Oryza sativa Japonica Group: one gene and its partners. The main gene of each other region encodes a partner of the protein of the gene in region 2 in a complex. Links are inferred from orthologs where the notes say so. Each region holds a gene or a part of one and is shown on either strand. Other genes may lie near its edges.

What was found.
Region 1: mitotic spindle checkpoint protein MAD1 (region 2) and mitotic spindle checkpoint protein MAD2 share a complex: the UniProt entries of both Arabidopsis thaliana proteins name them as parts of the mitotic checkpoint complex. The link is inferred for Oryza sativa Japonica Group from reciprocal best matches to the Arabidopsis thaliana genes MAD1 and MAD2.
Region 3: mitotic spindle checkpoint protein MAD1 (region 2) and mitotic spindle checkpoint protein BUBR1 share a complex: the UniProt entries of both Arabidopsis thaliana proteins name them as parts of the mitotic checkpoint complex. The link is inferred for Oryza sativa Japonica Group from reciprocal best matches to the Arabidopsis thaliana genes MAD1 and BUBR1.

What each region holds. Positions count from the first base shown.
Region 1 is NC_089038.1:24,797,650-24,801,150, forward strand, and holds mitotic spindle checkpoint protein MAD2, read right to left. Parts: upstream 2,276-3,501; 5' UTR 2,055-2,275; coding exon 1,982-2,054; intron 1,871-1,981; coding exon 1,855-1,870; intron 1,695-1,854; coding exon 1,564-1,694; intron 1,446-1,563; coding exon 1,221-1,445; intron 1,092-1,220; coding exon 970-1,091; intron 881-969; coding exon 824-880; 3' UTR 517-823; downstream 1-516. UniProt on the Arabidopsis thaliana protein: Required for the execution of the mitotic checkpoint which monitors the process of kinetochore-spindle attachment and delays the onset of anaphase when this process is not complete.
Region 2 is NC_089035.1:38,693,161-38,697,301, forward strand, and holds the start of mitotic spindle checkpoint protein MAD1, read left to right. Parts: upstream 1-1,323; 5' UTR 1,324-1,478; coding exon 1,479-1,676; intron 1,677-2,014; coding exon 2,015-2,114; intron 2,115-2,406; coding exon 2,407-2,567; intron 2,568-2,842; coding exon 2,843-3,040; intron 3,041-3,118; coding exon 3,119-3,211; intron 3,212-3,408; coding exon 3,409-3,531; intron 3,532-4,141. UniProt on the Arabidopsis thaliana protein: Required for the execution of the mitotic checkpoint which monitors the process of kinetochore-spindle attachment and delays the onset of anaphase when this process is not complete.
Region 3 is NC_089036.1:5,218,435-5,222,665, forward strand, and holds the start of mitotic spindle checkpoint protein BUBR1, read left to right. Parts: upstream 1-1,426; 5' UTR 1,427-1,508; coding exon 1,509-1,753; intron 1,754-1,885; coding exon 1,886-1,945; intron 1,946-2,089; coding exon 2,090-2,234; intron 2,235-2,344; coding exon 2,345-2,502; intron 2,503-3,185; coding exon 3,186-3,267; intron 3,268-3,349; coding exon 3,350-3,416; intron 3,417-3,497; coding exon 3,498-3,543; intron 3,544-3,636; coding exon 3,637-3,802; intron 3,803-3,924; coding exon 3,925-4,010; intron 4,011-4,111; coding exon 4,112-4,192; intron 4,193-4,231. Other genes in the region: uncharacterized protein, read left to right, coding at 216-656. UniProt on the Arabidopsis thaliana protein: Essential component of the mitotic checkpoint. Required for normal mitosis progression. The mitotic checkpoint delays anaphase until all chromosomes are properly attached to the mitotic spindle.

The DNA of each region.
Region 1 (3,501 bases), on a different chromosome or scaffold from region 2:
AGGTCCTGGGGTTCCTCTGGTTTATATGTAAATGTAAATGTAGCTCTGTAGCATCTTGGTGTTAGTTAGTTTCCAATGTGTTTGTTACCCATGCTGATACTGGGTTTTACATTTGTCACAAATAGTCTTGGAAGCTGGAAACAAATACATTCATCAGAAGTGTAATTTGTCCGGACAACGAAGGTTGTCTGGCAAAATGTAAGATTTCTGATGGATTGTTGCAAACAGCCTTGGAAGTTCCGAAGCTGGAATAAATTCATTCAGCAGAAGTGCATTTTGTCTTGAGATTGAAGATGGTACAAAATTACTTCTAATTTAATATGCAAGTTTTGACAAGAAAAACGGTGGTCGATATAACATAAACTTTGAGGATACGGCTGTCTTGAGATTGAAGATGGTACAGAATTACTTTTAATTTAAGTGCATTTTGTTATTCACAGAGCATATGACTTCAAAACACCTTGAATCTTTTGAGATTCTGAAGTGAGAAACAACACATATAATTGAACAACACAGTGAAGAAATCGTGGCACACGATCACGATGCATTCAACTCCAGTGGTACTTTCAACCCAGGATTTCAAAGGCTGAGGAAAAAAAAATCATGGTGAAGCAGCGATACACAGTCGATTCTCCCAAAATGCGGTAAAGAACAAGAAAAGGGATTCTCCCAGAGCACACGAGTTCCGATAGGGCTAGGGCGTGAATGAACGAACGATTCACACAAGCATCACGCCTAGCAAGCTAAGCTAGCTAAATAAGCTAGCAGCAATAAACTAGCAAGGGGGTCTCCTCCTCATGGCTCCAACCTCCACCGGCGGCTTCTACTCCTCGTCCCACTCGTCGACCTTGTAGGAGACGAGCGTGTCCACCTTGTGAATCTGCCATGGCAAGAACACGGCGCTGTAACGTCAGCAATCTGGGAGAGGCAGCGAAAAAAAAGAAACGGAGTCGATTCAGTGATATTCACCTTGGTGTCGAAGGAATGCAGCTTCACCATCTGTGGATTCTCGATGAGCTTGGCGTCGCTCTCCACCCAGGTGAAGGGCACCGCGACGTCCATGTCGGTGTACGCCAGCACGTCGAATATGCCTGCAAAATCAATCAATCAATCAATCAATCAATCGACGAATGCGGATGAGCTGGGAGGAATTGGGGGGGAGAGCAGAGGCGATGAACACTGAACACTGAAGAAGTAGAGGTGGTGGTAATGGCGCTTACATGGCTCGTCGAGGCAGGGGAGGTAGGTGATGCAGGAGGCGACCTGGCGCATGATGGCCTGGATCTCCCTCATGATCTCCTTGTCGCTCTTCTCCTTGATGACACCCTTGTCGACCACCTCCGGGTCGGTCTGGATGCTGAAGTTCCACCGCTCCAGCACCTCGGAGGTGGCCTTGCTCATGATCACCAGCACGATCCTCTGCAGCTTCCCGGCCTCCAGCCACTCTGCGCGCGGCAACGCAGGAAACACAGGCAAGATCAATCAGCAGCAGCAAAAGAAAAAGAAAAAAGAAACCAAATGGAGACAGGCAGGCTAGTGATCCGGTGAGTGAGGCCAGACGACCTGAGAGCTGGGTGTTGAGGTTGGCGATGAAGGTCTTCACCCCTTCGTCCTGCGTCAGCAGCATCGTGAGGCCGTACTTCTTCACCTTGGTGAAGCTCTCCTCCGGGTACACCCCGCGGTTGTACAGGATGCTGCGCCACGCACAAACCAAGAACACAAAACACCCCGGATCAGAAATTAACCCTGAATCTGCAGCAACCGTTTTTTATATTTTTTTTCTTTCAAAGGAAACCAGCATCAGCGCAGCGGCGGCCGTCGATCCTGGCACCCGCAACCGCGCGAAGCGCGCACCTGTTCGCGGCGTAGCCTGCCACACGAGAAAAGGCATTCGATCAAACACCTATCGGGCGCGCGCACGCGTGAGAGGAGCCGAGGGCGAAAAAAAATAAAAGAAACGGAAGCGGAGATCGGCTTCTACCGAAGAACTCGCTGACGATGGCGGCGGAGCCCCGCAGCGTGATGATGTCCTTGGACGCCGTCCTCGACGCCATCTCCTGATCCGCCTCACCTTCTTAACTCCTCCTCTTGCCTCCCGTGCGGCGGCGGCGGCGGCGGCGGATGGGGGGAGAGGAAAGAGGAAAGGGGGGGAAAAGCCGGGCAAAGGCAACGGCTAGTGTGGAGCGGATCGGCTGCGGGCTGCGGCGCTTGGGAACTTGGGAGCGTTGTTTGTCGATGGGTCGTGTTGGGTCAGGTGCGGGGGAGAGAAGGTGTCGGCGTGCGGGTGGGTTTCGGGAGTTTTTAAAGGTGGGCCGGACCTGCGCTCCCAACGGTCGTGTGGGCGGTGGGCCAGTGGGCTTCGGTTGGCGCGATTCGCCCAAGCCGCGCGCTCTCTTCGAGTCCTTTACCTCTTGTTGATGATGAATTGTACTGGTACCAGTAGACTACTAGTAGAACCGTAGAAACACCATTTTCTTGGAGAAAATGCTCCTGGGTGGCTGGGTTTTTGAACTTGTTCGGACGGTTGGCCTTTAGGGCAGTCCCAACCCATAACACTAGACATAGTTTTCATAAACTCTACATCATCAAGAAATTAGTACTAGACACTACTCTTTCAATATAAACACCACTATTCCATACTTCAATTTAATGCAATTTATCTTACATGATATTTTGTGTAGAAACCATATCTCATGCAAGACATGGTTTCCTTCTCTTTCCTCATTTATTTACTTGCCACATCATTTTTTATCCTAGGTGGCAACTTATATAATGTTATGGACATCATCCTAGACATTGGGTTGGGAATACCCTTAGAAACGGAGGGAAGGTATTTGCCCTTTGCCGCCAACAACCCCTATTTGCCCTCATATTCGTCCGTTTAGCACAGTTATAACTTACCAAACAATTTTGGTTTCACCAAAAAAAATAGAGTAAAGCTGGTTAGAGTGTTCTCGCAAAATGAGCGTCTTACCAAACGAGACATCTGTTTCTTACTGTTTTTCTGGGCTTATTCGGCCGAATTGTAAATCGAAAAGTTTATTCTTCACCAGACTAAAAAAATACGCTTATTCATTATATTATCAGAGCATATCATTTGATTCACGGTTTGGAAAATTATGTTTTGAAAATACAAAAACTTATACTGTAGTCCTTCCATCACGGCACAACAACTTTTTTCCATGTCTTGTAATATAAGGTGTGTGTGCATGCATGCACATTAACTATCACCTCTTAGTCCTTTAAATTTGGTTTGTTTTAAACCATCTACCATCAAGCCCCCAATCACACTGCTTGCCTGTACGGATGTGATCTAACCGATGCGATAATCAAATTATTTCTCGGTCTTTTGCGTTAGAAGTGATTTAGCCTAACACCCATTTTGGCATGTAGGGAGTATTACTTAGACCACTCATTTTAGACATATTTTATCTTAAAATATTAAATTAACCACTATAATCGGTTATATAATGGCGATAATAATATACTCAATAATCTAAA
Region 2 (4,141 bases):
ACATGAGTTTCGTATTTTTGTTCACATGTCACAAGTTTGCACTCGCTCGAACGTTTCGACGGTATAAACAGGGGTTAATTGGATCAATGCCACTGTAAATGTGACAAATCAGAAAAATGCAACTACTATTTATGTTATCGGCCAGGTACCACTGAAAATTTTTAAAATTAGAACCATGCCACTCCCGTTACTATTTCCGTCGTTCTCTCTCACGTCGTCATCCTCCTCTCTCACGATGGCACGGCGAGGGCAAGGCGTCATCCTCCGAGGACGAGGCGGTTGCCGGCGAGGACGTCGCGAGCGCGGGGAGCAGGTGCGGCCGCGGTTGCCGCTGGCGAGTACGGTCACGGGAGGTCGCGGAGGTCGCGGGCGCCGCCGGCGAGGACGGGAGCGGGGAGCAGGCCGGACGGCGAGGCAGTCGTCGTCCCCGAGAAGCTCCGGTCGCCGCCGATCCAGCTCCTCCTCCATGACGAGATCCGAGCAGCACCAAATCCTGTCGACGGACCAGTCGAGGACTGGGCTGTCTTGGGCATGGGACAGCACTGGACTCCCCGTATGGTCGAGCAAGGTGAACTTGCACCGCGCGTTCATGGGACCATCAATTCTATCTTGAAGAATGAGCAAGAAGGACATGCTCCATGGTGAGCCAGAAGCTGCTATGGTATTGGTAGGTGATACGCCAGAGGGGAGCGGGCGTCCGCCGCCGAGGACGGTCGCGGGGAGGTCGCAGAGGTTGGGGAGCGGGCGCGGCCGTCGCCGGCGAGGACGGGAGCTGGCGCGGCTGCGGCCACGGCCGGCGAGGACGGTCGCGGGGAGCGGGCATGGCCGCCGCCAACGACGGCGCGGACGCAGCCGCTGTCGCCGCCGAGGACGGTCTTGGAGGCGGGTGCGGGCGCTCCTTCCCCATCCGTCGCCGTGCTGCACTCCTCTGGCAGAAGAGCTCGTCCTCTCGCCGCTCCTTCCCCATCTCGACGCCTCTCGCCGCTCCTTCCCCATCCGCCGCCGTGCTGCTCTCCTCCGGCGCCATGTTGCCCAACCGCCGTTGAGACCAAGATGAAAGGTGAAGACAGAGACGGCAAAAATTATGACAGAGAGGACGGAAATAGTGACGGAGTGGTATGGTTCTAATTTTAGAAAATTACAATGGCATTAACTCGATTTCATAAATAGGAGTGACATTTTTTTATTTGCCATATTTGTAATGGCATGATCCAATTAACCCTATAAACAGAGGGCCGACGAATTGGGGTAAAAGTGGGAATGGGGTAACGGAGATCGGAACGGACGCCTTTCACCCTTTCCGGCTTTCCCCACTGGTTCTACAGGCATCCGCGCGGATTCAAATCAAATCCCTCGTCGTTACCCATTCCAGCCTTCCCCTCTCACCTTCCCCAATCTCCCTGCGGTAGAACCCTAGAGGAACCTTCTAGAACCCCCGAGCCCCCCCCCCCCCCGCGGCCCCCGGCGAAGCCAGCGAGATGATTCTCCGGACTCCACCGCAGCGGAAGCGGCGGGCGGACTCCGACGTCGACGCCGCCGCCGCCACCGCCACCACCCGGAGCCCCGTTTCCGACCGCCGCCTCGTGCTCTACGACCGGCCCACCGCCCTCGTACCCGCTGGCGTCCCCGGGGAGCCCATGGATGACATGGTCTGCACGTACCACTGCCGTCAGATGGTGAGATCGCTTCGCCCCTATCTTCTACTGCTATTGTTGTCTTAGCCCAATGGTCGGTGGAAGCATAGCGTGTCTAGTAATTTCGGTGTTACTCCAGCCTCGAGCTCCCATTTAGCTCCAGGTAGTCTCATATTTGATATGCTTAGCTCAGTTGATTCCACGCATGCCACATCAAAAATGTAGACAATTATCGATTGATTGATCAATTTGTAAGGAAATAGATGGCGTGGAGCGAATAATTGTGTGTGGCTGTTGCAGTAAGCGTTATTACATGCCAGTGTACCATATTGATATATACATACTGGTGTGTTCTTTTTTCTTGTATGTAATTCTCGTAGGTGAAATCAGAATTTATGGTGGCATTGGACACTGCAGAGAAGCAAGTTCAGGAGTATCGAGCCACACTTGATGATATGGAGGAACGATTATCCAAGAGTGGTATGCTGTTCTTTTTTCGCATGTGTACCTTCTTAAGTTCGATTTGCTATATCCGTTGGTCAAGATACATTTATGTATCACTTGAAGCATGCACGGAGTTTGGGCCTACCTTCTTCCTAGTTGTGTTTAGTTTGATTTGCCGGGCGCAGAAAGTAGGAAGGACACGTAGTATTGAATCAGATTCACTGCTCTAAGCAATCTACTGTTAGAAATAGGTGTTAGCTTATTACATTCGAAGCAATTGCATGCACATACTTAAAGGTAATCAATAAACATTTTTTTACTGCTTCAGAGGATGAGAGGGCAACATGCCAGGACAAACTGAATTATGTCGAGCAAGAATTGGCAGCAACAAAAGGTCGGGAAAGTGCAATGCAAGAGCGATTATTAAAGGAGGTGGGTGACTTTCAGGAACGCTACTGTGATCAAATCAAGAAGATAGGGGAACTTGAGGTATGCAAATCTCCTTTGGCACATGACCTCCATCCCGTCACATAGCTGGTGACTTGCCTTTAATGTACACCCCCCATTTCTTTTGGTTAGTTCCTTCTGCACCACTGAATATTTGCAAAAGGCCTCATTAACTCCCTAATAAAGTGGGTCTGGACGTACACACCCACTGGGACATTGGCTTGACACATAAGTGATGAGGCAAACATTCAGCTCCTTTTTTTAATCGTATATCTGCTCATCTATTGGCATGACTAATGAAGATCTTGGTGCTGCAGACGCAGCTGAAAAAAGAGATTGATTCTCGAATTGCTGCTGAATCATCGTCAGCATCCGCAAAGGAGTCAGTCAAGGAGTTGGAGGGGAATTTGCAGCGTTTATCTGAAAATTCAGAAAGGGAGAAGAAAGCCCTTAAGAAGAAGCTTTCATACTTGCAAGACGACACAAAATTATCCATTTCTAAACTAAATGCGGAGGTCTGTATTGTTGAACTCTTGTGCATAATGATTTATTACTAGATATTGGCTTATCTGTTTGAAAATGTCTGATGATAGCTTGAAAGAATGAGACTCAGGGCGCTAAACTCTGAGGACGAAGCAAAGTTGCTGAATGAACAGTTGGAGGACTTAAAAAAGCAACTAGATGAGGTCAGCTTATCTCTAATTTGCATGCTTGTCAGCTCATATTTTAATTTGCATGCTTATTTTTGTCTAGCAATATTTCTAATCTTTCCCTGCTAAGAATAGGCTATCTCATTAGATCATCTTTCTCATCTATTTTACTATTTGTTTGATATTTTTGTTCAACATCTATATTGATTTAATTTGTTTCTGGTCCTTGCCAGAGTGTTCGTGAAAATAATGAGATGGAGCACAGGCTATTGAATTGCAGTTCTTTATCTTATGAACGTACTCCATCAGACGATCAGAAGTTGATAAAGCTTTTGCAAGAGGAGCTCCGGAATTATGTGAGCATTATAAATTTGATATCTCCCAGATAGGTTCATAGCTGATTCTATCTGACTGGTTATTTTTCTTGCTTCTTTCATGCACTTGTACAAACTACAAAATGCTTCTTTGGATACACGTGGCTAAACAGCGAAATACCAGCTATTGATGACTGGCAGAATCTTATGTAACTAATCAGTGTCTTGCCGATATAAGCCTTACATCGTTATTACCATTACCTGCTTAGTATTATTAGATAGCATAGGGCCTTCCCATTCATAGTGCAGGGTAATAACACTGACAGAATGTGTCATATTAAAGTTCTGCCCACCCACCCCCCCCTCGCCCCCCGATACCGCAACATTATTAGCAGTGACTAGTTTTTTTTCCTCGAGAACAGCACTTGCTAGTAATTACTGATGCAAAATTTATGTTTTAGTTCCAAGGGAGTTGTTTTTCTATGGCCAGCTACCATAAATGTAGAATGTTCAAGCTGTATTGAAAGCTCTAATCTTCGCACAAGTGCGCTAGGCTGCTTGTTCTTATATTCTTCTTCTTGGATTCTAGATACAATGCTTTCCTGTAGCTGTCTTAAAATTGGATATTGTACAAGTGCTGCTTAACTTCGTT
Region 3 (4,231 bases), on a different chromosome or scaffold from region 2:
TTCTGAAAAAAATAGTTTGTGTGTTTGCACACTCTGATAATTAGATTTGCTTGAGGAGCACCTTAAGTAGTAGTATTCCACATAGTGCTAAGTGCTGATCTATCCTATTGAATTGCCTGCTATATTGTTTTGAGAATGAATTATATGTTTATGATTATGCTTTAGTAAAATTTCTCACTTGAGTTGCATTGTTCAGGGAGGAGTGACCGGAGGGAATGCAAGACCCAAGAGGTATGCCACGAGATGAATTCGCAACCCCGAAGACGCACAAGAGAAAGGTCGTTTCCCGCCCCTTGCCTCCCAGCCAAATAAAAGCTGAACCTGAGCTGCTGCGGAGGGAGGTTCCACTCACATCCGGCAAGACCAAGAAAGCCCCTAAGATAACCTTCAAGAATGAACCTCGCCATTCGGCTCCGCAATCTGATTGGGGAACCCCCGATTCGGTGCCAGAGTTCGGTCCAGCTGATGAATACAGAGCGTTACGGAAGAAGTACCTGCTGCTGGAGGATGAGAACGGTGAGCTGGACAAGCAATTGAGCCAGGCTGAAGAGGAAGCCAGCGTTCTCGAGGATGAAAAGTTTGCGCTGCTGGATCAGCTTGTTGTGTTGGAAGGCCTTGTGGATCCTTCACAGATGCAGCCACCGAGAAGGCTGTGAGATTCTATGCGTGTTCGTTGCCTGTTCATAGTCCAATTAAGTTACCTGTTACTGCTTCCTGCTAGATATGTAACCAATTGTAATGGAAGAGCAAAGACATATTATATCGTTTATTATGGAAGTTTGAACATTTAGAGCACTTGTTTGGAGTTCTTTTTGTGCAATATGAAAGAGTGCTATCAGTTTAACTGAAATTTAATCGTGGCAAAACAGAAAGTTCAGCAAGCATGAAGCTTTGCGCCTTTGCCTCAAGTTTGAGTTATGCTTTTAAGAACTACGCAACTGGTCTTGGGGAAAAAAGCTGAACAATTTGTGTTTCATGTGATTTAAGAAACTAAATCTGTTCATGTGAAGATCAACTGATCATCACAAACTTCTGCGTAATGTTTGCACAAACACATATACTCCAGCATTAACATAAAAAAAACAAAACTCATTCATCACGGCGAATTGACGGGCCACAATTTTAACAGTATGATTTCTCAAAAATCTTTCTACAATAGCATTGTTTCGATAACCTTTTCTAACCAAATAATTAATTAACTTCATAATCTACAGTATATTGAATTAATCTATGAATTTATCGGCTAATTAGCTGACAAGCTGAACAGGGCTGAGACTGAATTTCTTCATAGTGACTCTGCCGTGTGAGTGCTGACGCAATCAAGATCCAACAATTTTAGGCCCACATAAACTTTCCAAGCCCAACTCATGAAAAGCCCAATTCTTTTTCACCTTATATAAACCCGAGCAGCAGCAGCATCCGCCTCAGCTCAACGGTCAAAAATCTCTTCCAATTTGAATATCTCTCCTCCCAAACGGTCGGCTCCGGAGCGGCGCCCGGACGAACACATGGCGGCGGCGATGGCGACGACGGCGGCGGCGGCGGCGGAAGAGGCGGTGGTGGCGCTCGACAAGGAGACTCTGATGCTGATGGGGTGCGGCGACGCCCCGCCGGCTGCGCCGTGCGCGGAGTGGGAGACGTTCAAGGAGAACGTGCGGCCGCTGAAGCGCGGCCGCAACGTGGGCCTCCTCAACCGCGCCCTCAAGGCGCACGCCGACCCCGCCCAGCGCGCCGCCCTCCTCGCCGCCCGGAGGTACCGCCGCCGCTCCCGTCACCCGCGTCTCTCGGTTCTTGGGTTTGGTTTGCTCTGGATTTCTTGATTTGGGGGCGGGTCTCTGGTAATCTTTTTTTTTTCGTCCTACGTTTGATTGATCTACTGATTCAGGAAAATGATCGAGGCAATCGACGAATACAGCGGCGAGGATCCGCTCCAACCATGGATAGAGTAAGCAATTTCCCCTTTGTTTCATTGATTCGTATACTAGTAGTAGTAGGTTGAGCCGAAAGATTTGCCATGTCGGCGATTTCTCTGCGGTTTCCGCAAGCTTGCTGCTCATGGCATGCCTTTGTCTGCTTAATCCACACGCAGCTGCATCAAATGGGTTCAGGAGTCGTTTCCGACAGGCGGGGATTGCTCCGGGTTGGTGGTGATCTACGAGCAGTGCGTGCGTGCCTTCTGGCACGACGACCGCTACAAGAACGATCTCCGCTACCTCAAAGTGTGGCTGGAATATGTGAGTTTCATGAATTCAGGATTGGTTCTGAGGTGGATTGGTTGGATTGGATTGGATTGGTTTGGTTTCCTTTTGACATCCAGTTTGGCTTGATCTTAATCTGTATGCAGGCGGGGAATTGTGCTGATTCCGAGGTGATATTCAGGTTCCTGGAGGCCAACCAGATTGGTCAGAGCCATACCAATTACTACTTGTCCTATGCGTCGGTAATGGAGTCCAAGAACAAGCTAAAGAAAGCTAATGAGATTTTTAACCTTGGTATTGCCAGGTGAGAATTTTATGGGGGATTGGTAGTTTAGTTTCTTCAGATATGAGAAAGGTTGCGGATTTTCTTCAGTGCTAGTCTGCTAGTAGATTATTTTTTAGTGATAATAGATAAGTTCCTTCTAAATTTCCATATAGCCTTTGACAAAGAATTCCTGTTCTAGATTTGAAGTCTGTTTTCTTCGGATTTTTAGTCAACAAACATATAGTCTTACATATCCCCATTTACTGTTTTAGTTCTATGAATTATAGTAACTAAAATGCATTAAACTAATTTGGAGTAAGCTTATGAACCGTTGTAGCTGAAAACTTTTACCTTCTCTATTTGTTTTTGGAGGGATATGACTTTTCTTGCCACTCTACCTATACCTTAATACCTAAAGCATACGATTTATGCATTTGTTTGACTGCAAGGTGTATAGTCTTCCATATTCCCACTCACCATTTTAGCTCTATGTATTATAACTAAAATGCATTAAACTGATTGTGGAGTAAGCTTATGAACTGTTCTAGATTAAAACATGTATTCCTGACTTCTCTATTTTTTGTTGGAGGGATATGATATAATTTCTCAATTTTCTGCTCTACCTACACCTTAATACCTAAAGCATACTATTTATGAATTTTGTTTGATGGAATGGTGCATATTAAACCGTAAAATTCTTTGGCTTTTTTTTTTTTGGTCAGGAAAGCAAAGCCTGTGGAGAAGTTGGAAACTACATACAGGGCATTTCTTCAGAGATCATCCAAAAAGAAGGCACATCCTGAGGTGTACATAGGCTGATTTAGTACCCTATTTTTAATCTATATTCCACTGCCCACTGAATGAATTCTATTATCTGTTGAAACAGGATGACACAACTACTGATGATCATCCAGTACGCAACTTTGGGACTGTCTTGAACCGTGGTGAAATCAGTAAGTTTGCTGTGATGGTATGATTAACATCAATTTCAAGTGCCTGGCTGGGTGAACTAATGTTGCATTTTGATGTGGCAGGAGGCCAGCATGCAGAAAACTCTCACCTGGTGAAAACTCTGCAAAGGTTATTACTTGTTATACGCATGCAATCAGTATAAAGAAATCTAGATGAACCTGGAATTTTTTTACTGGTGTTGATACTGTTGCAAATTTGCAGAGTTGATGTCAATAGGCCACTTGCAGTTTACACAGATGAGAATTCGTTACCTAGTCATGGCCTTGCTAGAACCAGGAGCAACAACACGGCCTGGCAGACCCTTGGATCACAAGCAGATCGGAACAAAGAAAATAACATGAGGCCTGCTAAATGGACATCACACAAGGTTTTTTTTTTCTCCCCTAAGCCACTAGAATTCTTCAAAAGGTCCCTTTTTGCGACATGTCTCGAGGTTTATCGGTTCAGTAATGATCAATGAACTGATGATAGTATTGCACTGAACAACAGATTCCTCAGAAGGTTGGATCGAGGGCAGCAGTTCAGCCGACTCGTGTAAGCTCCATTGAAGTCTTCGTAGATGACGAATGCGCCGAGTATGCTACTGTGCCCTTAAGTTAACAGTTTTGAATAGTTCTTTAAAAAGAGTAACTGTAAAAACGTATAATTTTTATATACCTTCCTTTGATTATTTCAGGGAACCAGTTCCCCAAGTGCCAAAGAGTACAAAACCATCTATTCTGAAGCTTAGGCAAGCAACAAGCAGAAACCTCAAGCAGTAAGAATAGTTCAGCTTATATTATGTTTCCAGAGGTTC